Linked DNA regions of Notamacropus eugenii. The protein of the gene in region 4 interacts with the protein of the main gene of each other region in a pairwise test. Links are inferred from orthologs where the notes say so. Each region holds a gene or a part of one and is shown on either strand. Other genes may lie near its edges. The genes, in order: NR4A1, C5H1orf94, NR4A2 and CDKN2D.

What was found.
Region 1: the proteins of CDKN2D (region 4) and NR4A1 interact in binary tests that used the Homo sapiens proteins (3 or more experiments, as listed by UniProt). The two-hybrid records come from large-scale screens. The link is inferred for Notamacropus eugenii from reciprocal best matches to the Homo sapiens genes CDKN2D and NR4A1.
Region 2: the proteins of CDKN2D (region 4) and C5H1orf94 interact in binary tests that used the Homo sapiens proteins (3 or more experiments, as listed by UniProt). The two-hybrid records come from large-scale screens. The link is inferred for Notamacropus eugenii from reciprocal best matches to the Homo sapiens genes CDKN2D and C1orf94.
Region 3: the proteins of CDKN2D (region 4) and NR4A2 interact in binary tests that used the Homo sapiens proteins (3 or more experiments, as listed by UniProt). The two-hybrid records come from large-scale screens. The link is inferred for Notamacropus eugenii from reciprocal best matches to the Homo sapiens genes CDKN2D and NR4A2.

Annotation. Positions count from the first base shown.
Region 1 is NC_092874.1:224,525,883-224,532,787, reverse strand, and holds the start of NR4A1 (nuclear receptor subfamily 4immunitygroup A member 1), read right to left. Parts: upstream 3,011-6,905; 5' UTR 2,804-3,010; intron 1-2,803. UniProt on the Homo sapiens protein: Orphan nuclear receptor. Binds the NGFI-B response element (NBRE) 5'-AAAGGTCA-3'. Binds 9-cis-retinoic acid outside of its ligand-binding (NR LBD) domain.
Region 2 is NC_092876.1:85,488,707-85,496,075, forward strand, and holds the start of C5H1orf94 (uncharacterized protein C1orf94 homolog), read right to left. Parts: upstream 3,018-7,369; 5' UTR 2,795-3,017; coding exon 2,481-2,794; intron 1-2,480.
Region 3 is NC_092876.1:215,131,738-215,138,592, forward strand, and holds the start of NR4A2 (nuclear receptor subfamily 4 group A member 2), read right to left. Parts: upstream 3,003-6,855; 5' UTR 2,585-3,002; intron 759-2,584; 5' UTR 636-758; intron 240-635; 5' UTR 109-239; coding exon 1-108. UniProt on the Homo sapiens protein: Transcriptional regulator which is important for the differentiation and maintenance of meso-diencephalic dopaminergic (mdDA) neurons during development.
Region 4 is NC_092875.1:79,627,025-79,633,651, reverse strand, and holds CDKN2D (cyclin-dependent kinase 4 inhibitor D), read right to left. Parts: upstream 2,647-6,627; 5' UTR 2,559-2,646; intron 2,083-2,558; 5' UTR 2,060-2,082; coding exon 1,919-2,059; intron 1,714-1,918; coding exon 1,351-1,713; 3' UTR 501-1,350; downstream 1-500. Other genes in the region: AP1M2 (AP-1 complex subunit mu-2), read right to left, coding at 3,973-3,995, 4,212-4,287, 5,762-5,887, 6,355-6,513. UniProt on the Homo sapiens protein: Interacts strongly with CDK4 and CDK6 and inhibits them.

The DNA.
Region 1 (6,905 bases), on a different chromosome or scaffold from region 4:
CACAACATACCCAGGGCTCCAATGTCAAGAGAAGCACTCAGTCATCTTGAAGGAAAAGTACCCTCTACCTTCCCTGGGAACCCAAGGCTCCAACCTTGGGCCAAAGGCAGAGACCTTGAGCTTTCTTGATTGATGGGCATTTACCATGTTTACAGATCATTAAAGAAATGATGGATGGATCAGGCAATCAGGGATTACAAAGGCCCAAGCACAGCCATGCCAGACTCACTTCACTGTATTTTTTGATGAGATTACGTAAGTGGGGGATGCTGTGGATACAATCTACCTAGATTAAAAAAAAACAAACAAACCTTCTGATAAACTATTCACATGTTTCTTGCAAAGAAGATGGATATGGTTGATATTAAAGCAGAAGTATCTACAGTACTTTGGACAGCCAAAGTAGTGCTAAATGTCAAAGTGAGAGGAGGTCTCCAATGGAGTGCCCCAGGGATCAATGCCTCTTAACAATATGATCAATGACTTGGATAAAGGAACAGATGTTATGTTCACCAAATCTGCAGACAACACAAAACTGGAAAGAAGAGTTCACACAGGTGATGACAAGAATCAGGATCCAAAATGATCAGCCTATAGCACTGAACTGAATGGAATAAGTGAAAGGCCCTAGACATAAATGGAAAGTCTTCCACTTGGGTGCCAAAAAATCAACTTCACAAGTAAAAGATGAGGGAGATAAGGATGTATAATAGTTGTCTGAACAAAGATCAGGGTGCTCCAGGCTCAGGAGGAGTCAGCAGTGTAATGGACAGTCAAAAAAAAAAATGCTAGAAACAATCTTGAGCTGTATTAAGAGGGAAATAGTTTCTAGGAACAGGGAGATGATGATACCATTTTACTCTGCCTGGGTCAAACCAAAGAATAATGAAGGGTCTTGAGTCCATGGCATATGAGATTAATGGAAGGGAATGCCCAGTTTAACCTGGAGAAGAGGAGACTGGGGGAGGGTGGAAGGGGAAAGGGAAGAAGTAGGGAGCTGGGGATGGAGGACATGATAGCAGTCTCCAAGTATGTGAATTGCTGGACCCCAGAGGGTAGAGTCAATGGCAGTAGATAGAAGTTATATTTTGCAAGGAGACCAATTTAGGCTCAACACTGGGATAAACAAGTTAGAATTGTCCAAAAGTGGGAAGGGGCTCCCTCTTTAAGGACAGGATCTTGAAGGTCTTGAAGGAGGGATTCCTTTCCTGTATGGACCTTTTCACCTGTCAACTTCTAGCTGTCATCCATCATCATCATCATCTTCAAGTCTCCACCTCTGACCTAGATCTCAAGTTCTCAGCCTAGGCTTCTAGGCTTCAGACCCTGGTAGAAGGTAGCATCCTACTCTCTATGATAATCAGATTTCTTCCCATATTTCAGACCCTGGGCTTCTAATTGGTGAGCATTCACCACATCTAGCCCAGACGCAGACACACCAGACTACTTCCCATCTATCTGCATGCCATCAAAATGGCCCATTCTTTCCTCCCCAAGTTTCTAACTAACTCTGAGAATAGTAATCAAATCTATACCACCATTCCTCAAAAGAATGTGTCAATTGATTGCCTCTAGGACACCCATCAACATCCCTGTGACTCCTCTGTGAAAAACTCTTTCTCAGTCAACACAATGTATTGTGTATTGTCTCCTACTATTGTGATATGAGAACTTTGATGGCAAAAACTCACTTCTTTTTGCATTTGCCTACCCAGCATATAGCCACGTGTGTGCACTGCAGACAGAAAGTGATAAATAAGTGCTCTTCCACTCATTTGGATAGGCAGCATGGCCTTGGAATGAGGAAGACCCGTCCAGGTTCTAGCCTGGCCTCTGCCACATACTGCAGCTCACCATCTCTCAATGCTTTAGGAAAATCTTTTAAGTCCAAAGGTAGCAGAGAAGGTGGGCAGCCTACATAGCTTAACCTGGGGTGGAGGTAGAGGTGCCTTTTCCCCTCCTAGGTTGGGGCGGGGAGGGGGGGAGGGAGAGAATGGTGGTGATCTTTGCCAGCAGGAACCTAATCTAGGTTATCAAGTTTGTCCATACTCCACTTTCATGCAGAACCCAAAATATAATCAGGTTTCAGGGAGCATGCAGGACACTCTTTCCTGGGAGTATATGATTATCTTCATTTTATACGTGAGAAACTGAGGCCCAGGGAATAGAGGTTCACCACACTGTCCTTTTTTGTCACATAACTAGGAAATGTGCCTTGGGCACTGCCAAGTTTCCCAAGACGGTATTATCTACCTTCTCCCTTCCCAACCCCCCCCCCACTGGGTGGTAGACTTGGAGTCAGGAGATAAAATCCCGACTCAGATACTTACTATATGATCCTAGGCAAGTCACCACTCCAATCTCCGCCTTAGTTTACTCATCTGTACATGGGGATAATAGCACTTACTTCACAGTGCAACCTCATTGGGTTAATATATGTAATATATTAGATAAAATCTGTAAACATATTATCTACATATTACGACATGTAATATATTAGACAATATATGCAAATATATTATCTACGTATGACATGTATTATGTAATATGTAGATAACATGTAAAAAGCGGTCTGCAAATCTGAAAACAATCTAGAATGCTCCATATTGACAATAATGATAATAAACACAAGCAGATTCTAGTCCTAAAAAACTCCCAGACCGCGACAATACTCCCTCCCTCCCCCGCTCCCTCCCGAGGAAAGTTCCTGCCCATTCGGCGGCCCCGCCCCCCGCCCCCGGCCGGGCTCCGCCCCCACTTTCCAGCCCGGCTTCCCCAGTCCGTGCCCCGCCCCCTCCCTCACCTGGCCCGCTGGGGCTCCCCGAGCTGGGCTGTGCAGGGCGCGAAGCCCCGCCCGGGAGGGACGCCCTTCATTCTGCAGACACGGGCCCCCAACCCTGGGCGGGGGTCCCAGAGGGGGTGCGAGGCCCGCTCCTCGATGCGGTTCACTCTCCTTCCGCACGCCCGCCCCGCGGTCGCCATGGGCCCCCTCCTCCTCCTTCTCCGAGCCAAGGGAGCCCCCGGCCCGGCTGTTCCCGGGCCTCCCCCCGCCCCTCCCCCCGCTCCCCAGCGCGAGCTGGGCGCGAGCGGCTGTTCCGGCAGGCAGCGCGCCTCCCCCCGGAGGCCGGCGGGGGAGGAGTGACGCGCGCGCCCATTGACGTCTCCGGAATCCCGGCGGCGGCGGCGGTGGCGGCTGCTTGCCTGCCCCTGGAGCGTCGCCCGCCTCAATGGGCTAAAAATAGCGGCTCCCGGGCGGAATAGCCCCGCGCGCCCGGAGCCCCGCCCCCGCCCGGGCAGGTGGCACACGTGCCCCTGCCCCCCTCGGTGAAGCAGCGAGCAGGTTGGCCCATGTTAATCCATTTTATTCTCACGACCACCCCGGGAGGCGGGGTGCTGCGGCCGTCGTCGCCGTTTTACAGCTGTGGAAACTGAGGCAGACCGGTCACAGCTGGGAAAGGCTCGGATCCCGCGCCGTCCGCCGCCTCCTAGCTGCAGACAGGGGAGGGAAACTGAGACCCAGAGAGTGAACAGGGAGGGATTCGAACCCAGGGCCCTGGTCTCCAAAGACAGCGAGCGCTTTCTGCTCCTGGCGGCCCTCCCTCGATCCGAGGTATCGCGCAGAGAAGTGTGTTTGGTGCCGCGGGAAAGCAGTCGGGACCTGGGACCGTCAGCCCCTTCCAGCCCTCGGACCCGGGCAAGGCACTTCACTTCCTTCTGCCTCAGTTTCTTCAGCGATAAAAGGGAGACAGTAACACTTGGGGGCGTGGGGTGAGGACGAAGAGAGCTACAGATCTCCTCTGCGTGCGTGGAGGCTTCGGCCAGCCTTCAGACCCTGGATACATAGTAGCTCTCTTAATTGCACGATGTATACATAGTAGCTCTCTTAATCGCACGATCTTATCCCTCTCAGGCGATTCTCTCGGACCAGACCGTGGTACCTAAGATGGGGGTCTGCATTCCTATACCAATGAAATCGCAAGTCCGGGTAGATATGCATCCCCAGAAGCTGGTGCATCACAGTCCCTTAAAAAATGCTAATTCATTCATTTAGAATTCGCTTTCGACTTTCTAAACTAAACCTTCACTGATTTCCAGCCCTTATCTGCTGTCTAATAGATAGACCTGGTCTTTCTTGCTCCCTGTGCCTCGTGGAATCTCTAGATTCAGAGATCTAATGCATCCACTCCCGAAATACCTGTCCTCCTCCACTCCCCCCTTTCCCCTTCCACCTCCCCTCTTGCTCCTTTACCTCCTCCCCCTCCTCCTCCTCTCCCCTCTTCCTCCTGCAGCTGGGCCCCCTCCCCTCCCCCCTGCCTTTGTGGCTAAACTACTGGAGAATGCAGTGTATAATAGGTGCCTCCATTTCCTTTCTTTTCACTTTCTTCTTAACTCTGCAGTCTGCCTTCTAACCTCATTATTTTCCACTGAAATTGCTGTCTCCAAAGTTTCTAACTTTCTTGACCTCTCTGTGGCACCTGAGACTGGTGACCATGCTCTCCCCCTTGATGCTCTCTTCTCTCCTTCTCCCCAGCTTTTCATGACTCTCAGTCCTGGTTCTCCTCCTACTTAATTTGACCCCTCCCTCTCAGTCTTTTTTTTTGCTGGATCTTCAATCTGGGTCAGGACTGGTCACCGTGGGTATCCCCCAGGGCTCTTCGCTGAGTCACTTTCTCTTCTTACTCTCCCCAGGGATAGAGAGGCCCATGGGCCTGAGCTGCACAGAAACAGGTGAAAGGCTGGATTTGGCCCATGCCGTAGTTTGCCAACCCAGGCTCTATGCTATTTTACTTGGTGATCTCATGAGCTCCCAGGGATTCAATTGAGGTTTCTCCAATCAATCCTAGCACTTGTTGCACCACATAAAGCGAGTTTACAGAAAAATCACCCAGTGTGGGAGCTAGAAGACAGCTTAGGTGTCACTTTGCCCGACCCCCTTATTTTTCAGTTGAAAAAACTGAAGACCAGATAAGTTAAATGCCTCTCGAAGGGTCACACAGTTACTGAGTGGAGGAAGGGAATTCAAACTAGATATTCTGAGTAGATTCAGTTTGTCCTGGCCTTAGGCCTTTCCAAACTAGGGATGGGGTGTTGCCTCTGGCCTTTCACCTTTCCATTTTCCCCCAAACCTTTTCCAGATCAATGGACCTCTTGAATCTTCCTACCTCCTAAATCCGCTGGACCCCATTGTTTCAGATACCCACTTCATCAAACCCATAATTAATTAATTAATTTCTCACTTTTCTCTTGCCATCCCTTTTTAATTGGATGGACTCGCCTGTTATATGCTCCCTCTTTCCTTTACTAGCCCCCACTTCTGAATACTCCAGAACATGAGTGCCTCTCTAGGATTTACTTTCAGAGAAAAGAACATAATGCAAAATCAGAAATAATAGACCAGGATTAGGTAATGAGAAAGAAGGTCGAGCAAGAGACCTATCAGTTCCACTCCAGATGGTACTTTCTAGTTCCTTTAAAAGATGTTTATTCAAAGATTACCATCCAAAATAAAGGAGGCATAAAACCAAACCAAAACAATAAAAATAAGATTAAATGAGCCTCAGTACAACTGAGATGCTTAGCAACTATTTACATTCAAATTAACTAATTTCAGTGCATCAAGTATCATAATTTTTCATTCACTCTGACTAATCATTCTCATTCCCTTTTCCTTTTGTATCCTTGTAGTTAGAATGTACTCATACCACATCCTTCTTGGTAGCCTTTTTTCACTTTGTATTATTTCCTCACCATGGAGTTCCTTAAACCAATTAAATTATGGGTACCACCCCTATCCCTCGCCCACTCAAGTTCAATATCCCTATTATTTCAAATAGATCTTTTCAGGTTTCTCAGTATGCCTCCTACAATCTTAAATTGCATTATCATGTTCCATTATATTAATGAATGGCACTTGAATTCTTAATTATCTTACTGAGCTATTCAGTTCTCCAAGCCTAACTTGGCTTATCGGGATTCTTTCTTGGTCTGGAAATTCAAAAGGCAGGAAACTTGTTCCTCCTTCCTCTGGATCTCCCCCATAACACCCATGATGGGATGCTGTCAGCTTGAATCAATATTTTGGGGGGGGGGCTTCTCACAGAATTTAATTCTTTGTTAAAATTTCATAGGAACAGATTTTTTCTTTTGATTTTTTATTTCATTGCTTTTGATGTTTCATATTTTATTGATACATATTTTCACACCATCTTCATTTCAGAGTATATCTCTTCCCTATCCCCTACCCAGAAGGCTAGTGTTTGTAATAACAGTTTTTAAATGAGGAAAAAAAGTAGTTCAGTCTAACCAACCAGTACGAGCTGAGTCTGACAGTATATGCAATATTCCACACTCATGGTCTCCCCATCTGTGCAAAGAAAGGAGGGAGGCACATTTTCTCAGCTCTTCTCAGGAAGTAAGTTTGGTTGTTATAATTATATGATTTTCAGAGAGCTTTTTTGTTGTTGTTTTTTTCCATCTGCACTGTTGTAGCCACAATGAATATTGTTTCTATTCTATTCTGCTTCGGTTCATCTAAGCACTCCTAGATTTCTTGGAATTCTTCATATTCATTGTTTCTCATGACACGGTAACATTCCATTACATTTGTATACCAATAATTTATTTAGATTTTCCCCAATCAACACACATCTGTTCTATTTCCAATTTTTTGCTACCACAAAAAGTGCTGCTATGAATATTGTGTGTGTCATGTGTGTGTCCATGTGCCCTTAATGAATACCCAGCAGTGAGTGCTGAATATTTTGACCCCTTTCTTAGCATAATTCTAAATTGTTTTCCAAAATGGTTAGACCAACTTACAGTTCCATCAACAATGTATTGGTATGTCTGTCTTTCCAGAGTCCCCTAATATTTATTTCCTCCATCTTTTCTCATCTTTGCCAATT
Region 2 (7,369 bases), on a different chromosome or scaffold from region 4:
CCAGAATGGGGTTCGTGTAGAACCTAAATACCATATTAGCTCTTAAACTTCAGACAAGATTATGATGTTTTGTCAGATGAATGAATAGACAGGAATATGGATGAATGAATGCATGAATAGATAAATTAATGAATGTGATATACTCCAACCAGACAGTTTCCTGACTGGGCTTCATGCACATGGGCTAGACATCCAGATCCAAGGTTCATGGATAAGCCAGACAGTTCCAGAACAAAGGTCATACACACAAGTCAGAAAGTTTCCATAACTGGGATTCATAAACACAAACCATTCACCTCCTGCACAGAAGCCAGATAACTCCAGCAACTGGAAGATTTGTCATAGTTTCAAATAAACTTCAAAAGATGGGGCTTCTCCTTCACCAGCAGATTCCTAGATATACTATGGTGATATACTTGGTTTATTCTTGAACAGTTAGAATGAGATTGTAAAAGACACATCTGAGCAATTAAAAGTATAATAATTTGCATTTTATACAATTTTTTACTTAAAATTTCCAACGTACTTTTATACCTCTCATCCCTTATCATCCTCACCACAGCCCTGAAGACAAATAAGACCAAGTTCATCACTCAGATTAAAGAAGGGGAAATAGAGGTAGAAAAGGGTTTACCAATTTGCCCCTGCTCACACAGGTAATCAGTGGCGCACTCCAAACTAAAGTGAAGATTTTCTGACACCCATACATTTGCACCCCAGTCCAATTTCAAGGTCCACATACAACACTGAAGATTGGAGAGAAGAGCTTGAAAGAAACAGGTTATTTGGGGAAACCAAGTCCCACATTAAAAGCTACCCATGGCTAATCCCAAGTGGATAAGTGCCACCTAGATGTTGCCTGTAGGTCTGTTTCTGCCAGTGGCAAGTGCCTAATCTGAAGTAGGAAGACTTCATCCCTTAGTCATCCAGAGGAAGTATATTTCAGTGGAAAGATCCCTGGAGTGAGAGGGCTAGAGTCTGAATCTAGGCTATACCACATGCCTGTGGGGCCTTAGTCGTATCATTTGCCCTTTCTGCTTCCATCTCTGTAAAATGAAGGAACTGGATGCTCTGCCTGGGACCAGCTCAGTATTCAGGCAGACTGGCCGGGAGCTCTGCATTAAGTACTGTTCAGCTGCACCGAGCTAGCGATATTTGTTTCTCTAATGCAGCTGAGGCAGACTGAGAACAGACTAAAGTGCCTTTAACTTCCTCCTCTCTGACAAGGACTGCAGAACAGGAGAGGTGGGAAAGGAGGCCGCTGAGTTGTTTGCATCTTCAGCCCACTGATGTGCTTAGGGCTTTCAGTTCTCTGGGATCCACAAGTAAGCTTTGCAAGAGCCTACGAGCAGTTGCTAACAGCTGGTCATTGCCTGGGTGCTTCTTGGATTAGCAAGCAAAGACTCCACCAACTCCCCAATGCCATTCTCCACTGTACAGAACCATACACTGGGGCCTGCAACACTTAATTATCACTTAGCCTCTAATTAGCACTTAATTATTAACACTTAATCCATCTGTAAAATGGGGACAGCATTATCTGCCTGGCGGGGATGTTTCGAGGAGTAATTAATTCAGGTTTGCAACACCCTTTGAAGACAGAAAACTTATGGAAAGACTAAATAGGGGCATGAATCATAGCCTTTCATTTTCTCTCTTGCCTCTCCCTCCCTATCCTCCAGCTCTTGTTTCACTGCTTCCTCTTGCCCTCCGCCTCTGCCCCAGTATAGACTCTTGGCACTCCCAGTCACAGGGTTTCCCAGCAGGAAATAGGCATATTTACAGCCATCTTCTAGAATGTGTTAATTTTCTATTATGGTCTTTGACGATGTCAGGGCTTTCCCAGTAAATATTTTGATGTGTGCTTTTGGAGAGGTTTCTGTAGCGGCTGAATGGGACAGCTGCTTCCCAAGCTGGGGGATTCCAGATGTGGCTCCACACCAAGAAGATCAGTTTATGTGGTGGGAAGGAAAGTGAACATCTCTGAAAAGCATCTCCCAAGAAATCCTCATCTCTAAACCATCTCTGAGGAGAACCTTGGGAATCCTGGAGGAAGGTAGACCTCTGGGACTGGCAGATCATACTAGCTCTGATTAATGCAACTTTCTTGCCTCTCGTATCCAAGGCTTTGGGAAGAGAAGTGTTATTAGCAGGCAAGGAAGAAAAGTTGTCCCTTTATCCCAGAATAATCCCCAAAAGGTGCCCCAACCCATCATTGGCCACAACTCTTCCCGAAGCTTTATTTCTTGCAGGCCCTAAGACTTGTGGACCTGCTGTGCTGATCTGTTGGCACTGGAAAGCCTAGAGGGAAATGTGAGGCATGAGGAAGGGAGGACATTAGGTCAGCCACCATAGAGTGGCTACAGATATGGAGCCAAGGGAAATATTCTCCATAAGCAACTGCCTCCCAAGGAATCAGACCTCTGATGCTCAGAGTCCCCCAGCCCAAGTTTCTGTCATGGCAGGGGAAAAACACTCACTCATCCTGGAAAGTGCTGTCGTGGTCTCGGAGGGCACTAGGTGGGGCAGAAGTGGGCTGTGCTGGTACCATTGATCCTGTCCTAGGCTGGAAGGCTTCTGGGAGGCCCTGAGCCCTCTTCCATATCTCATGGCAGGTCTTGTCCAGGCTGTCTTGAGGCGTGTCCTGGTGAATCCAGATATGCCTGGGGAACGGACCCAGGGGTGATGGGCGCTTGCTGGCCACCGTGGGAGAAGGGAGTCCATTCCCACTGGCCATCATCCTCCTCTCTTTGCAGAAGGGCCTTTGCCTGCCCCGGGCTCCAAGACAGACCATCCACAACCCCTCATTCACCAGAAATCGAGTCGGGGATACTGGAGTTAAGGGGTCAGATTTTTCTCTCTCCTCCAAGGACAATTGTTTCACAAGTCTATGTGTGTTTGCGTGTGTGTGTCTGTGTCTGTGTGTGTGTGTGTGTGTGTGTGTGTTCTGGGGGAGGGGTTGTTTTGATTTTTTTTTATTTGCTCTTTCCTTTTCTTTTGCCCCCTCCCCCCTCCCCCAGAAGAAAATATTTTAAAATAAAAGACAACAAACCTAGTAGCTTAGTAACCGTGGAATCCCTGGAGCACAGGATCCTGGCAACTGGGCCGGCAGAATAACAACTGGAGACAAGCTGAGAGGGGGAGTCAGGGGCCGGTAGGACAAGGAAATAGGGCAGCCGAAGCCCGGATAATCCGCCCTGCACTCCTCCATTCCCCCACGTTAGTTCAGTAATGGAACACCACCCCTCTCCCCTTTCTCCGTTCCTCTCCTGGCCAGAGGCGTTCACAACTGGGCAGTCCAGGCACGAGATCCCTTCAGGAAGGGGGTGGGGGTGGGAGAGAGGGCTCAGACCCTCCCCCATCCTCATCTGCCAACTCTCGAGCCTACTGCCCTGCCGAATCACCTACCGCCCCAGTGCACATCCTCCTACTGTCCCCGCAACCCCATCCTGGAGACGAGGCCGGGGACCTGGGGATAAGGAGGGCACTAGAAAAAGTCCACAGCTCAGGTTTCAGAGCTCCAGGGAATCTGCAAGTCAATCCTTTTCATTTTACAGATGAGGCAAACGAGGCCCAGGGAGAAGTGTCTAAGCAAGAGCACACAGGTAGGTAACAGAGTAGTAATTCGCACCCATGTCTTCTGACTCCCAAGCTAGTGTGCTTTCAATAGCAGTACAGAGACCCCCGTCTTCAGAGTGGAGACAAATGGAGAGCCCTCCGCTGCCTTTCCGCCAAACCTCCTTTACTGAAACACTTCTTCTTGACTGTCAGGAATGAAAACCCGGCAGTTCTTAACTGTCCCCCCCAGCCCCCGCAGCGCAGATACGCTGGGGTTTCAGGGAGCAGGAAAGAGAGCAGCGGCGCCCTGCGCTCCACTCCGCGCACGCGGGTCTGCGGTCACACTCTCGGCCCTTCAGCGCCCGCATTCCCCCAACCTGTGGTCAGCAGTGAGATTCTGGCACGAGTTTTTCAAACCCCCCACCTCCTGCGATCTGGGGCCTCTACCTGCCCGGGCAGGGAGAGGAGTCTGGTCTGGACCCGTCTACATCCCGCTCCTGCCTCAGCCCTCCTGGGGGAACTGAGTCGCCCCTGGAGGCAGCTGCTGTGGGGACGATGCAGCTGAAGAGGCAAGGAGCGGGCAGAGGTCCTATGGGGACCTCAGACCCTCGCCCATCCTCATCTGCCTTTCCTGACCCTCTCGAGCCAACTGCCCTGCCGTATCACCTACCGCCCCAGTGCACATCCTCCTACTGTCCCCGCAACCCCATCCTGGAGACGAGGCCGGAGACCTGGGGATAAGGAGGGCACTAGAAAAAGTCCTCGGACTTTTAGGGAGAGTTTGGGGCAACAGGCCGGATGACGGCCTCCCTTGCCTGGCCAGCCACGATATGACCCTCCTCAGCCCCAACTGCAAAGGTTCTACCCCACTCTTCCAATTTCAGAAACACTGGCTCTGCTGACGAAATGAGGGATAGCCTCGGGGGCTTTACCTCTTTCTTTGCTTCTGCCACTTCAACCTACAATTCTCCCCCATCCCCTTTTTTCCCCAGTGCTGGTGTCCAAAGCATGTTTCAGAGGTGGATGTATCCCCTCCTTCAAACCCCATCCGCAAATCAGGGTTCCTACGACCACTGGTCTTCTCACCAGAACCACTTGGCGATAGACAAAGCTGAGGGGCCCTAGCAGTCAGTCCCTTTGGGCCAACCTTCTATTCTACTAGATTATTCCTGCTAAAGATGCAGGAGAGAAGCCCCGACAACCCTCAAAGGTCCTCTTTGGCTTGGCAACGCATTATGTGATGCAGGCCATCAGATTTATTGGCTTAATTCTGTTTGGCTCATTTTTATTTTAAAATGAGTTTGCATTCCCCCAGCAGGCCCTGACAGTAGCACAGTCATGCAGGGTGAAGAGTGAGCCAGCCTGCTTTTCAAAGCTGCCCTATTACTGTCCAGTGCCCCAGCAACCTCCCAGTCACCCGGACTCTCATCATCAGCGTCATCTTCCACTCCTCAGTCTACTTCATTCCATTTATCTCAATCAGCTGCTAAATCTTGTCATTTTACCTTCACAAAACCTCTTTCCACACACACAACCACTCCCCTAGCACAGGCAGGCCCTCACTGACTCTTCCCTGGACTATTGCCATAGCCTTCTAATTGGTCTCTCTGCCTCAGGTCTCTCTACTCTGTCTACCTCACAGATGCCAGATTGAATTTCCTAAAGCACAGGTTCAACCACATCACTCTTTTCCTCAAGAAATTCCAATGACTCCCTATACCCCTTAAGATCAAATGTCAGCTCTTGTTTGCCATTTACAGTCCTTCATAAATTCTCTTCCCATCTTTCCAGACTTTGCTCCCTTTCATTCACTTGGTAGTTCAGTCATATTGGCCATTTACTGCTCCTCATACACGACATTCTATTTCTGCTCCATGCTGGCCTCTGTGGGTGATGTGCTCTCCTTCCTTTTGGAATTCTTGGTTTTATTCAGGGCTCAGGTCACGGTGATTCCTTCTACATGAAACTTTTCCAGATCCTTCCCCCCCCCCCCACCCCAGTTATGTTGCATTTACTCTGTGTGTATAGATGTAGATAGATGGATGGATGGACAGATAGAGATAGAGATATATGAACATACTGTCATTTCTACTGAGATTATAAGCTTCTCAAGGACAAGAATCCTCATCAATTTTGTCTTTGTATCATCATATGGTGACTGAATGAATAACAAAAGCTTGAAACGATTGAGAATAGAGAGTTATGAGCAAACGCTTCAGGACTAGAGAGTGCAGGGGGAAAGGAAAGAGCTGAAGTGAGCCTTTGCTTCTCTATGAACTGTTGACTCATCTTGCTCTCTTCATCCCCTCACTGAGCGTTGCTCTCCCCAAGTTAGTGAGGAAGCCAGGACCTCTTCCCGCCTCCCTTCACTCTTGCAGGATCTAAATCAATCTCCTCCCATCTCCTGGGTTCTCCCAATAATGGTCCTAACACTGTTGCCAGAGTCATTAAAAATTGAAGGAGGGGAAACAACAAAAGTTAGTTGCAAACAAAATGTGTCTGTGCTCATTAGATGCAGTATTTGTGTTGGCCTGGTTGTTTCTCAGGAGAAACTAGGAGCTCGGCATTGATGTTCTCTTTTCTGTGCTCTGGAGTCACTGAAACCCTAGCGTATCTTTGCTGAGCGCCCTGGGAGGTTCAGGAGAGCTCTGATGGGAGGAGGGGAATGGCGCAAAAGAGATGGTAAACTAAAAGTTCTTCCAGTTGCAGAATAGGTGGATTTCTGACAAAATTGTCTGGAAAACAGACCTTTGTGTTATCAAATCCTATTCTCACAGATTTTCATGATAAAGTCAGAGTTAGGGTGTTGTTTGCTTTTTTTATTGTTTGTTCTAGATTTGTGATTTTATAGGTATGGGGAATTATTGGTATTGAAAATCCCTCTGTGATTCAGATCAGCAGCACAAAAAACTGAAGGAGTAAGCCTGAGAGAGATATGGGAAGCCACATATGCCAGAAAAATCAGGCCAGCACCACCATCTTACCCACCACCGCCCCTCAGATCTTGATGGGGATAGCCTAGGTCCCTGAGCCCAAGAACTTTGGGAATAGCAGAACACCCAGACCTGCCTCCAGCCCCATCTCCACAAGCACCATGGAAGGGAGAAGTCATTGTGAGGAGAGGATCTACCTTCCTCATCATGGCCAGCAACAGCTACTAACCAATGGCCACCTACAAGCAGGTAGACACAGGGGCCCTGGGAGTGGCAGTTCCTTCCAGATCTTCCAGCCCAGCCTTCCCAACCATCATCCGAAGAAGCAGCTCTTATGTAGATGGGGCCAGTCATCCTTAACACTCAGGATGGACAAGCTAGCTTAGCTGAAGCAGCAAGGCACCTTGAGAGAGAGATGGGAGGCAGAGGGTGCCAATCTAGTCAGACCACCACCACCTAGACTACCATGTCTCCTTAGAACTGGATGGAGACAGCCTAGGACCCTACATCCAAGAGCCCTGGACATGACAAAGCTTTTACTCCAGTTCCCTCGGCCGTCATCCTGGGAAGCAACCCCTGTGGAGTTGCAGCTTTGCAGTTGCCCCTTCTGGTGCTGCACCCATTGCTACTTAAGACCCGGAAAATAAAGTTCTTCCCAGAAAGGTCTTAGAATATGAAATAGTTCAACATCAGATACTGATATTTAGCCAGTGGAAATACGTGTGTGTGTGTGTGTGTGTGTGTGTGTGTGTGTTCATCCTTCTTTGCCAAAGAAGACTATGTCATTGGAGAAATGATGACATGACTTGCACTTGACTTTGTTTTGAGTGAGGGAGGGCTGTGCAGGTCACCAACCTTGCTTCTCCTCCAGAGCCATC
Region 3 (6,855 bases), on a different chromosome or scaffold from region 4:
AGTTAAGAAATCGGAGCTGTATTCTCCCGAAGAGTGGTAACTGTAGCTCTGGGAAGCTGGGCTGGCTCCTTGAGGCGATGACCCATACTGAGCCTGAACACAGGGCATGGCTGGAAATGAAACAGGGTGATACACGCTCAGCCTGGTCAAGTGAACACTTTCTCCCTTGCTTTTGTACACCTTTTGCACACCTGGATCAACCACACGGCGGTTCCGTATTAAGTAAACTGTACACAGCACTGCAATTTAGGAGAGGAAAAGGGAGAGGAAAAAGAGCGGAAAGACAATCCGTGTTGCAGGCGCTGACCTTCAAAAAAGGGAGGGTGGGGGGAGGAGATCTAAAAGAAGAAAGACAGGTAGGATATAAAGGATCAAGAAACGCCCCTATTTCCATTGTGTCTCCTTTACAACCCCACCCACCCACCCAATAACCTCTTATTTAATGTGTTCAGGTCGCTTGTTCTGGAGCAACCTGCCAGGTGCTAAGCTATTCTGAAGGTGGCATTCGAGTAATAGGACTGGTTTACTGAGTGCAATGACTTTGCTTTTGAAGGTTCTAGGGGTCCTGAGGGGGTCTTGAAGGAGTGTCAGAGAGAGAAGAATGGAAAAACTGAAAAGCAATCAAATTCACTAACCTTCAGCCGAGTTACAGGAGTTTTCGAGGAAATTAAAGGTGGACAGTGTCGTAATTCAATGGAGGACAAAGTTCCCAAGATATTAGAAAATAAGTGAATAGTCCAGTCTGTCCAGCCTGCTCCCTGAAATACAGACATAATATGTTCAGGTTACTGTGGAGGGATTTATTGGACACAAGCAACTACACCAACCTGCATATTTCACTGTAATACATAGTATGGCCTTTAAATAAATAAACCTATGACACATGAATGTGGAAGAAATATAATTAAAACCAATAAAAATGTTTTTCCCTATGACAATCTGGCATATAGTTAGTTGCATAAAGGTTTTTCTTTTTTTCTTTTATGAGGGAAAAGAAGAACTTATGGCAAGTTGTCATTTAACATTTATAATTGTCATGAATTGACACCACCACCACCCCTTGTAATAGGTAAAAGAGAATGGGTTGTCACTATCATAATTTTATTCAGACACAGGATGAAAGGAAGACCAGGGTTTTGTAAAAAGTCACTTTGGGACCTTCAAGTGAGAGGTATTCAGTAGGCAAATTTAAATGTAATAATAAGCTAACCAAAGAAAAATAACATAAAAATATGAAAAACCATTCTGACCTCCTAATCTCCACCTCACCTTCAAAGTTACAAAGTATGCTACAGGCCTACATTGTATAATTGGAAAGAGGCTAATAACCCCTCTACATGTATGAAAATGACTAATCTATTTCAAGGACATAGGCTACTTACTTTTCACATTTCTAAGAAACTTCTTGTGCATATTTTGAAATGTACATTTAAGGAAAGCTTATTTTTGCAAAAAGAATGCAAGCAAAGAGCAATACAGCAAAGACAGTCCTTGACTCATTTGGATGCATTTAAACATATGGCAAGATGACCCCTTTTCTACTACCAGCTTGAGTTGTTTCCCTCTTTAATGAAACACGACAACAATCCTGGTAATTTTCAGATGTTCCCATTTTTAAGGCATCTGAGAGTACAAGTATGTCAATGAAAAAAAAAATAAAGCTAGATATCCATTCTTCTTCAGTTTTAGCTATCTTGCTTCTGACTTCCTATTTCACAACTGGAAATCCGAGAGACTAGATGGGGGGTGGGGGAGAGAGAAGGTGCAATTAACTCCCCCAACCCCACCAAAAGGTGACTTATCTTTGTTAACATCAGGTTTGTAAATTCACTGGAGAAGTGATCTTAATCTCTCTATCCCTCTTCTTCCCTTCTCTTGCTTTCTCTTCTGTCCTTTTCTCTCTTCCTTCCCCTCTCTCTCACTGATGAGCCATATGTGTCAGAACACAGAAATTTGGGGAAACTAAGAGGATACCGTACTAACAGCACCTATACTGAAAGAGCAGCCTTCTAAACACCAGCACGTTTGCTAACCATGGTGATACAGTTCCCAAGCAACACATAAACTGAAGTTTTCCTCCTGTCACTTTTCCCTGAGCGTTAAAGCCTTACTACACACACGACCTTTGAGATTCAGTGTCCAAACGACCAATTCACATCTGCTCTAAGGGAAAAAAAACGATATGGAGGAAGACTGAGTAGAAATTTCAAAGTCGAAGTTGAGAAGACAGCAGCTCCTAGAACGGTAAGAAGTATTCCTTCCGCGTTTCCCAATTAGCAGACTAGAAGCTGCTACCGAGAATGTACTGTTCCTAGCACCAAACGTGTAGTTAGGAAAAACGCCTTCTGGAGCAATTCACAAAACTTCCCTTTCATCTCCCTTCCGGACTCCCTTTCCCTTCTTCACTTCTTTTTCCGGAACGCACAATTCACAGATCCCATGCCCATACCCACAGGAGAGGGAAGGGGAGGGAGGGAGAGAAAGAGGAAGAGGGAGAGAGAGAGAGAAAGACAGACAGACAGAGAGAGAGAGAGAGAGAGAGAGAGAGAGAGAGAGAGAGAGAGAGAGAGAGAGAGAGACTTACTTAATGGTTCTCCACGTCTCTTTTCATTCATTCAACTGTCTTGAAGAGCAGTTTCCTCGGGAGGTGGGGTGGCGGGGGGATAGGGGAGGGGGTGGGTTAGATCGGTGAAAGGAAAAAAAAAAAAAACAATCGGTCCCGAGAAGTTGCTAGTTACCAGCGCTGCTCGGGAAGTGCGGTACTCATGTAGCAGAGTGAGAGCAGCCGGACAGACTGGCCCTTCCCTCCAATGTGCCTTTGTTTATGTGGGCTCCGTATTCCACAGCCAACATGCACCTAGTCTCCAAACGTCAGCACACGTCAGTGCAGGCTGCCCAATCCCAGTTCCTTAGGGCTGTTTCTCCCCATACAGTTGGCCAGCTCTCGCTTTGGTAAATTTCCGACCTGACGTCACAAGCAGGGCAGATTTTAAGGTGGGAACCGTTCTGGGTTCACCTTGTTAGCCGAGTTGGGCTTTTTTTCTTTTCATTTCTAATTTTTTTTTTTTCCGAAATAGGTGAAACCTGCCCACCCTTGCCTCTAAAGCCAGTAAAGCTCACTTCGCCCCACCTTCTCCAAAACTCCCCAATTCACAAATAGTTTTGGCAGCCCAGATGTGTAAGACTACCAACAAAAGGGAAGATGGGATGGGGGTGGGGGTTAAGAAAGGCAAGGAAAGGATGGCTGAGGGAGGATGCGTGTGCCAGGTAACCCGCACCTGTAGGCGCACGGTATCGGGCGATATGTACTTTCATTGTTCTAATTCCCCCCTCCCTCCCACCCCCCGCACGCTCTACACCTCTGCTCTCATCCCCAGGCGCTGAACCGTGCACAGAAGCCTTTTGCACGGGACTGCTAAATCTGGGTTTCCCTTTCTCAGTGCTTCCCTTCCCCCTCCAATAATTTCCACTCTTGCAGAAAAAAAAAAAGTCGTATTTTGTGTGATGCCCTCTTCTCTCATCCCCACGTGTAGGAGGGAGGACGTGGTGACTGTGGTATGGAAGGGGGGTTGGGATAAACAAGACAGGATGGGCACTGGACCAAATCCTCTCTTATAAAACCAGAATCTATTTGAGAAATATCGCTCCCCCGGTCCTGACAATGCAGCAGTTTCATGCAACAGGTGTGCATTCCCTAGAGAAAGGTGATTATACTTGCACCTCAGGTTAATTCTTTTCAACTTCAGAGCTGCACTCTCCCCAAGTATGTTTTAAACTACATTTCTCTAGATACATAGGACACTAAGTAAACACTGCATAGCTCCTAAACTAGGTGGTGTGGGAAATGATACCCCTCCTTTTTCTTCCTCAAAAAAAAAAAAGTAACGTACACAATTTGCCTTAGAAAACCTTGGTATAATCAACAGGAGTCCAGAGAGCATGCATGTCCGTATGTATTGGGTTCGGCGCGTTACTGCTCTTAGAGCAACACCAGAAAGCTGTCACAGCCTGAGCTCTGCTTTGCATGCTAATAGGTTGAAATGGGACTGAGAACAGAGACAGCACCTTGCAACAGGGAGGAGGGAAGCACATGGAATGCTTTCTAGTAAAGGAAACGCTGGTGTTTTTAAGAGAAGCACAGCGATTCGAGTCCCAAAGCCCACAGAGGTTTACTTGTTGAAGAAGTCCGCTCGTCCCAACCTGGAAGGGATACCAAGCCTAGGCCATTTAGTTCGGGCTCTGAATTAGTTGCGAGTAAAATTTGGGAGTATCTGTATAATCTCAATCCAGTCTTTCTTCTGAACGACTGTTTTCAGCTCCCATTCCCTTCTCCAGCAGCAAGGTTTCGTTATTGCTACCGTGACCCATTTGTACCCTCCCTCTCCCTACGTATTATTGGTATTTTCATTATTAGAAGAAAGCACAGTCAAGATTAAACCAGTGTCGCCTTCCCTGAGCCCTAAACTGCACTCCAGACTTCACCTTTTCACCCCACCCTTCCTGCCCTCTCCCGGGCGGTGAGCTTCGGTCCCAAGCACTGCGTGCAGTCTGGGAAAGCCGCTGGCGCTGCTACCCGGCAGCCCAGGGGAAACCTACGTGACCACCTTAAGTTTCCCCAGATGCGGTGGCGGCTGCTGCCGCCGCCGCAGCTACACCGCGGTGCCCTAAGCAGGCGCGAGAAAAAATAAGGCGGGGAAGAGTGAGGGGACCGAAGGGGAGCGAGGGGAAGCAGTGTCGGCTGTAGCGAGGGGGAGGGGGATAGGGGTAGGACCAGGAAGAATAGCTCATTAGCATGAGCTCTGTAGCGTCAGCCACCCCGTGGGCTGGAGAGATTCAATGCGAACGAAAGGGAAAAAGTGAGAGTTTGGAAGGGAGGGAGATGGGAGGGAGTAGGGGGTGGCCATGACGCAGGGGCGCAGTCATTGACGCACCGAGCCGGGCGCGGCCAAAAATAGCAGCCACAGCAGAGCCAGCGGCGTGCTCCCCAGCTCCCTTTCCCCTGGTGCAAGGGGGCAGGGCACGGTGAGGAGGGGAACTCTCATTGATCCCGGCTGTGGGCAGGGCTAGCACCAGCTATTTTAAGGCTATCGGAAACTCCAGCGCAGCCACGTAGGAGACTTGGTGGCAAATTATTATTTTTTAATCTAGCCCTAGGAAAAACGGGGACCGGGAGTATTTTAAGGTTGCAGACACATCACTCAGACCCGCATATCCAAACCTATAGCTTAGTTTCCCTCCATTACCATTACAAAACACACTCCGGAATGTTTAAGAACCTGAGCGGTTGCCTCCTCTACTCCCAAGAGAGTGAAAATCTTCGATTAGGGAAGTGAATTTCATAGTAGGTCTGAAAGGTGCACGGAGTCCCTTATGTCACTGTCCAAGAAAGTGAAACATAACAGTATCCAAAATTATTCAATTTCATCCTATTGTAAGACTTCGTGATGACTGAGATCGAGTTAAGTAAACTTTCATAGTACCCTTTACGATGATGGCGATTTTTAAAAGTAGGGAATAATTTTTCTTCTGTTTTTAACTGACTTTTAGTTACTGTCTTCAAATCCTTGGATTTTCCTTTAGGCTGAGGTATTCATTAAAAACACAACTTAAGAAAGCTGGAGTAAAGTAAACAAATGTTTATTAAATAAACCAATTACTGGTCAGGCTGGTTGGCCTGTACTTGGTGGGGCTCTATAGTGGTCCAAAAGAAGGGCTCCTGTACAGCCTCATTCAGACTGCAATCAGAGCTGATGCTGGAGCTGAAAGCCAACAAACTGAAATCTTTTCCCCAGCACAGATATATTTGAGTATTTAATTGATAGGGGAAAGTCCAATCAGAACCAACAATCTCTGTAATTGACTGATCCTGTCAGTAGGGGGCCTGAAGCCACAAACTTTTTTTTTAAGCATTAAAAGCCACATAAAACTCAAAAGGTTTATACCAGGCCCAAATATTCATAATTTCTGTGCTGCTCAAAAACTGAAATTCATAAACACCTACACATATTTTTATAAAGGGAGCACAGTCTGATGCACATTGAATTGAATTTACAATGCATTTCCCCATACTGCTCATGTTTAGTTCACCATGTATTTGGTAAATGTTAGCTGGTAATAAACTCATTTTATCACCAAGCAGTTCAAATTGGCATATAGTTTGGAAAAATGAAAGCATGTTTTAAAATCCTATGATTACATGTTTAAATAAATTACAGTTTAGAAGAGGATTCCTGTGGGTGTATTTGCTGGTACATAAGAATGCTTTTGTGTGCAGAGGTTTAATTACACATATATAATGGAGTCAAAATGCAGGACTGAACAACCTTTTAGAAAATGTTAAAACGATGCTTTAGGCTAAATGGAACTGAACTTCTGCATTTAAATGACTGCAGCCCTTCATGACTGTTGAACATAAACATCACAAAGTATTCTCACTCACTCAATTAAAAATGACAATTATGAGATTTTGAGTCAAGCATCAGACTTACCTTTAAATTGACACATGAAAATGAGAAATTCATCGTCATTTTTTGCGAAGTCAAAGAATTTCAGAGTAAAATAAATGAATGAAAATGGGTTGTCTGTATACTTAAGTCAACTAGAGACTTCTTTTGAAATTAATCAGAAAAGCATTACAAAATTATCATTACCTTTTCAAGAATACTTTTCAGGAAAAAATCCTGAAAGGTGACTTTCCTGTATTATCCTCTATATTCTTGACCACATGTTAAAATAAGGTGTATGGCATGTAAATAAAAACTATAAAATTTTATTTTAAAAAGAAAAGAATTGCTATAGATCACATACACACTTACAAATATTTTTTTTTTTATTTTCTGCAAGCTTAAACATTGA
Region 4 (6,627 bases):
TCGGCCGCACCTCCCCTCCCCCCACCCCCACCCCCGCCTCCTCTCACGCCACCTCCTACCGGTCCCCGGGGGCCTGGAAGACCCTAACCACCCTCATCCGGCTCCCGTAGCTGCTCAAAGGTGAAATGCTTGTTGGAGCTGGCTGGTCCGGAGGTCCGGGATACTGGGACCTGGGTGCGGGGGAAGTCCTGGCCCCTCCCCAGCGCCGCTCGGAGGGCACAGCTGGGGGCTCTTGCTCCATTCGCGGTTTCCTGCCACCCTTCCGTTCCCGATGCCCAAACCACTGCCCCACCCAACCCCAGCTGGACCCTGGGAATCACCCCGCCCTCCCGGGCTGGCCCTCTCCCTCCTCGGGCCCAGATACTCATTGAAACTCTTCCCTGGGCGCTGCGCTGAAGACAAAACCAGAAAACCGAAGCCCCTCCCCCCACCATATTCCTCCTTCCCTCGATACTCCCCTCCCCCTGCAGAAAAAAAACCAGGATGCAGAAGCTAGTCCATCAAGGAATGCTCAATATTAATTTAATGGTTAAAAACATTAAATTATCACACAACATTTCTTCAGAAAGCATAATAAATAGAATCTTTTAAAAACTGTACAAGAAGCTGGAAATAGGCCTTCAACGAAAGAAAATGGAATACTCCCCTGCCACCATTCTCTCATTTTGATTCCCCTCAAATTAAATTGTGTTCCTGGGTTTGCAAAAGGAAGTAGTGCCCTTCTCTTCCCTACAGCACCCCTGAGGTGGCTTTGCCAAAAGATAGCTGCTTCTGGGAACCTAGAAATCCCCTGAGGTGTCTGGGTGGGGGTGGGGAGAAGAGTGTGGGAGGAAAGAGGAGCCTCCTGCCACTCTGGACCACGGAAGGGATAGGAGAGACAGGGCATTGCCCTAGATCATCATAAAAGGCCCAGAACTCGCGTGAGCTTGCGCCAGCCTGAAGGGAAGGGGTTGGGGCTAGAGGGGGAGAAACAAACCGTTTATCAGGCCACCTTCCCTGCTGTGTCCAGGAGCTGGCTAGGGCCAAGAGTCCTAGACGGTCTCTGGTTGCTCATTTGGCTCTCTGCAGCCCTTGCCCTCCCCCAAGTTTCACATCACACCGAAGGGGAAAAATAACCACACAAATAAACACCAACAAACCATAACTCGGGGTAGGGGTGGGGGCGGGGACGAGATGGACCCTCGGCACTCGAGTGGGCATGGAATAGGAAGAGAACTGTTCACTCTCATCCTACCAGAGACACAGACCCTCCTCCAACCCTACCCTGTTCTCTGTTTCGGGGCTTTCTGGGCTGGTCCCACCAGTGCCAAGTGGCATCCAGCTGTCCTGGCTGCTGAAGGGCCCCCACATTCACAACGATGGAGTAGGAAGGTGCCTCTCCAAGATACGGCCCAACTGCCCGGCTCCACACTGCCGAGCCAGCTCCAGCGGCGTGAGGCCCCCGGCATCCCGGTGATGCAGGTCGGATTCCCGGGCCAGGAAAGTGACCACAGCAGCGTGACCCTCCCGGACAGCCAGGTGTATAGGCAGCGCCCCGGAGCCGTCCGGCACGTTCACGTCGGCGCCGTGCTCCACCAGGACCCGAAGAGTGTCCAGGAACCCTGTGCGCGCTGCGTCGTGGGCCGGGGAGGTGCCCGACCCGTCCTGGACGTTGGGGCTGGCTCCCTGCTTCAGCAGCTCCAGAGCGATGGGCGAGCTCCCGAACATCATGACCTAAGAATCGAGACACGAGGAGAGGTGTGGGACTCGGGCAAACGTAAGAGAGGCTCCGCGCATCCAGGCCCGAGGCGGGGTAGAGAAGGGAGAGCAGGAGGGCCAGGGGAGTTTCCCCTTCCTCCCACCCATACCTGGCCACCAGGCAGTCTCCCCCAGCAGCCGCCCCATCCTCCCCCGTGGTCCTCTCTGGCCAGAGACCCACCTGCAGGGCGGTCTTGCCGAAGCGATTCAGGGAGTCGGGATGCACGAACTCCTGATGAAGGAGGCGCCGCACCTCGTTCACATCTCCCCGGGCGGCAGCCCCGCTGAGCCGGTCCCCGGCGCTTATCTCCTCTAGCAACATCTCGGACCTACAGGCCTGGCAGCCTGGATCCGACAGCAGAGACAGAGGGTAAGCGCGGAGCGGGGTCAGGCCGTGGGGGTACGGTGCCACGGCCTTCCCCGGCAGCGGTGTGGTCGCTCCACTCAGCCTCGCCTCGCCTACCCTAGCCCAGCCCAGCCCAGCCTCCCAGGCTCAGGAGGCGAGCGGTGGGCCCCCAGCGCCGGGAGAGATTCCGAAGCAGCGCTGGGGGAGCCAGACGGCCGTCCCCTCGAGCCTGCCCGACCCAGGCTCTGCTGCACCGGCGTCTCAGTCTCTCCTGAAACCGGCGGCCTGCAACCAAACCCGGACCCCTCCCCAACGGGCTCCTCCCACCTGTCAGCCAGGATCTGGAGAGGGGGCTGGGAGGGCCGACTGGAGGCCCAATCCTACTCCTTTTTCCTGCGGCTCCTCCGCCTCCGCAGCCCGGCCCGGCCCCCGCCCCTTGGGGGCCGGGCTCCCCTGGGGTCTCCCCCCAACTCACCCTCCCTCTTCCTCCTGAGCGGGCGGGGTTCACTCTGAGCTCCGGCAGCCGCCGCCGCAGGAGTGAGGACGTGAGGGGGTGGAGCCGCCGCCCCCACGTGGGCCGCTCCGAACGCCGATTATTTGTTTTCTTACGAATTGACACTTAATATCGGTCCCCTCTGCCCGGCTCCCGACCCTTCGAGACCCCGCCCCGTTCTCCGTCCCGGCCAATGGTGACGCGTCTCCGGGGCGCCTTCGCAAGCAGAGGGCCGCAGCGCCGCTCCTGATTGGTCGGCTGGAGGCGACCGGCAGGGTACCGGTAATGGCGGGGTTTTCAGTTTCAAATGCTAGTGGCAGGCGGGAAAGAGGCTCCCGAGGTAACTGACTGAGGGAGCAGGAGCCGGGTCCGGGTCAGAGCCCGTCCTTTGGTCGCCCTGGGGCCCAGACAGCGACCAGTGCCACCCTTCACTCTGACCCGGCTGGAACCCGCAGCGCGCCCGAACCCACCCTAACTGTGCTCGAATACCAGACCCTCACCCAGTTCTAGCTTCCTGCAGAAAGACCGACCTCCCACCCCCCCATATCCGCACTAAAGAGCCGTGCACCCCGATAGGTAACGACACCAGGACTCAGAGCCAGACTGAGGGCCGGAGCACCCCATTCCAGGCCCCCTGCTTCAGACCCGCGTCCTGTCCGCCATCACAGCGTCCTTGCCTTCTCTCATCGAGTCAGCCCCAGGACCCTGCCACTGTCTCTCTCCTGCTCCTTTACCTCTCAAAGCGGACGAAAATGGGGTCACTCACTTCGGTGGGGTAATCGGGTCTCAACCTTCTTTAATCGTAAAGGCTACAGCTCGACAGGGAGAAGAAACAGAGAACCCACTCTCAGAGTGCAGGAGGGTGGAAAACTCGGGGGGACCAAGGCACAGGAGGCTCTCCTGACAAGGCACTGGGGCGGCGGGGGGAGCGGGAGGAGATAAATCAGTTCCCCCACCTTTACTTCATATAAAAATAGGAAGGAGAGAGCTCTAGGGAGACCCCTGGCTCCCCCCCCCCTTTCTCCGGTAAGGGAAACCCCGACCTGAGAAGAGGTTTCAGCTACCTGAGGCCTGCAGGCTTGGGCCCCCAGATCAGAAGTAGGGACGGTGAAGAGGCTGAGACATAAACAAGGGCCAGGGATGACCACCCTCCCAAATACAGACCAGGCAGATTTCATAAGCAGGGATCACAGGCAACCCTCAAGCAAATAAGGGTCAAAGCTGCCCCCTAAATGGACAGGATTGCCTCCCATTCACAGTCACAGACGGGATGCCTCTCATATATAAGTGGGCCATTCACTCTCACAAACAAATACACTCTTCAAAAAAAATCTTTGTGCCAGAGGGTCCACAGGGTAAGATGTCAGCCTCTGCTGCTCCAGGGTCTGTTTCTTTTTTAGCTGGTCCGAAGCTGATAATCTACAAGGAGAGGGGACAGTTGTCTTAGAGTGGTAATTCAAAGTAAGACTGGGAACACCTCCTTTCCTCCCTCCTCTCTACCTCCCAATATCCTTAATCTATGAAGACAGGGAAAGTAGTATTACTTTCTGAGGAGAAAAGTCCAGACCTAGCTAGGGACCCCATCTATCACACCCCTAATCACTTATTACCCCCTAATCTGGGGTATTCTCTTACCACCGCTCTGGGTGATGTATCGAACCCAGGGAAGGGCTTGATACCCACTCTTCTCAATGATCTTCATGTACCGGACCTGAAAGATGCCAGCAAAATTGTTTCAGTAGGCATAACTACTTATCCAGCCACAACACATTCAATCACACATGTATTCCTACCTCTGTTGTCTTCCTCCATCTAAACATCATGGCCAGAATTTTCTTTCACGTTAAGTCCAGTCACGTTCCTCCCTATACCCCCTGGATCAAACTCTACTTGACAGTTAAGGCCTTCCACAGTCCAGGGTCCCCTCCCTCTTATCTAGGTGTCTCTCATCACTCCAGGCAAACTAGACCACACTCTGCCTCATGAAGAAAAATCGTCCCTTCCCACGTCTTATCTTTCTTTATTCACAATGTTCTCTGTGCCTATGAAATTTCTACCCATATTGGGATTCCTGGTTCAAGGCCATCTCCACTAGGAAGATTTCTTCGATCTCTCTGATCAAATCTTCTCTCTCACACAAAATCACAGAATGATAGAGCCAGAAAGGTTTGTTCTTAATCTGGAGTCCATGAGCTTTTCTTTTTTTTAAACAAATTTTGATAATTATTTTAACAGAATTGTTTTCCTTTGTCAGCTAGGTGGCACCATAGTGCACAGAGCCCTGGGCTTGGAGTCCCTGAGTTCAGATTTAGTCCTTAGACACTAGTTGTGTGACCCTAGGCGAGTCAATTAGCCTTCATTAGCCTCAGAATAATAACAAGTATCTCCCAGGGTGTTGTGAAGACCAAATGAGATAACATTTGTTGGTTGTTGTTCAGTTTTGACCAAGTCTTCATAACCTCATTTGGATCTTTTTGGCAAGGATACAGGAGAGATCTGCTATTTCCTGCAGCTCATTTTACAGGTGAGGAAACTAAGGCAAACAGGGTTAAGTGACCTGTCCAGGGTCACACAGCTAATAAGTATCTGAGGCTGGATTTGAACTCAGAAAGATGAATGAGTCTTCTTGATTCCAAACCCAGTGCTATATTCACTATGTCATTTGTTAAAGACTTTGCAATTGTTTAGTTGCTATGTAAATGCTAGCTTTGTTATTCCTTTGTAATCCTATGTATTTAATTTTATGAATTTTTAAACATTATCATGAGAAGGGATCAGTAAGCCTAGATGGACCATGCATAACACAGAAAGGGTTAGGAACCCCTGATTTTATCTAGCTGCATTTCACAGATGAAGTAACTATGGTCCAGAACTATAGCAATATGAGCAAAGTCACACACAGACTAACACCGGGGTTTCGGTGCTCTTTCCTCTATCCTATGCTCATACAGTACCATGTTTGCTCCTCTTCAATGCCCTTAAAACAAGTAATGCCCAACCTCCTATTTATCTGGCCATGTATGTAAACAGAGGGAGAGCAAGGATTGAGCCTCACCTCCACCCCAGCACCTAGCTCAGTGCTCTGCATTTTTTTGTATAGTGAATGAATGAAGGGAACCTGCTAATGTCATTTCCTTGGGTTCATCTTTCCCTCATCCCCTTTCCTAAACCCCACTCCCTTTTACCTGAATCCCAGAGACAGTGAAATAAGGAATCTCAAATTTGACAGAGATGGGAGGCCGGCCCTCCACCTCCTCTTTCTCCACGCTGGGTAAGCCAAAATGAGCTCTCATGAGGTACTCCTTTCCTCCCTGCAAGGTCAGATGCATGGTGAGGAAGGGAGACACAAAAAATAGGCAGAAGAAAGGGTGGGATTGTGCCCTAGGGGATCCCTCCTGGGCTACTGAAAAGAACATCGATTTTAGCACTGGACCAGACCCCAGGAGACCTTCCATTCCAATACCTTTATTGAAAAAAAGATGAAAATGAGGCCCAGAGTATATAGAGGGTTTGATCAAGGTCACACAGATAGAAAATAGAGCTGGGATTTCTACCCCAGTCTCCCCTGACATAAGTTCTCTTGTCACTTCATTTTGTTGGCTAAATGAGCCCCAGGAGGTTCATTTCGTGCTCATAGCTCTCCCCTCCTCAGGGTCCAGCCCCTTCCCACCGCTCCAAACCTAACCAACCAGGTCCCTTCTGCCAGTTTCCTGGACTCCTGCTGTTCCCCTCCCACTGCCCCCTGACCCCACCCACCACCTGCTCCTCCAGCTCTCACAGGAAAGGACTTGATATTCCAGATAACCACATTTTTCTCAGGCAGGTACTTGGCACTGCCCACACTGGTTTTGAATCGAGGGGAATCTGCATCACTGGGCACTGGAACCGCGATCTCCACACTGTTGGCCACTGATTGCTTCTTAAACTGGCCTTTAGCCTGGCAGAGGTGGGGAGAGAAGCCAAGACTCATCAGACCTGGATGTCCCCCCCGCTCTTGGTTTCTACATCCTTTTTCTTTACTGGTCATCTCTCCCACCTTCCCAGTACCTGT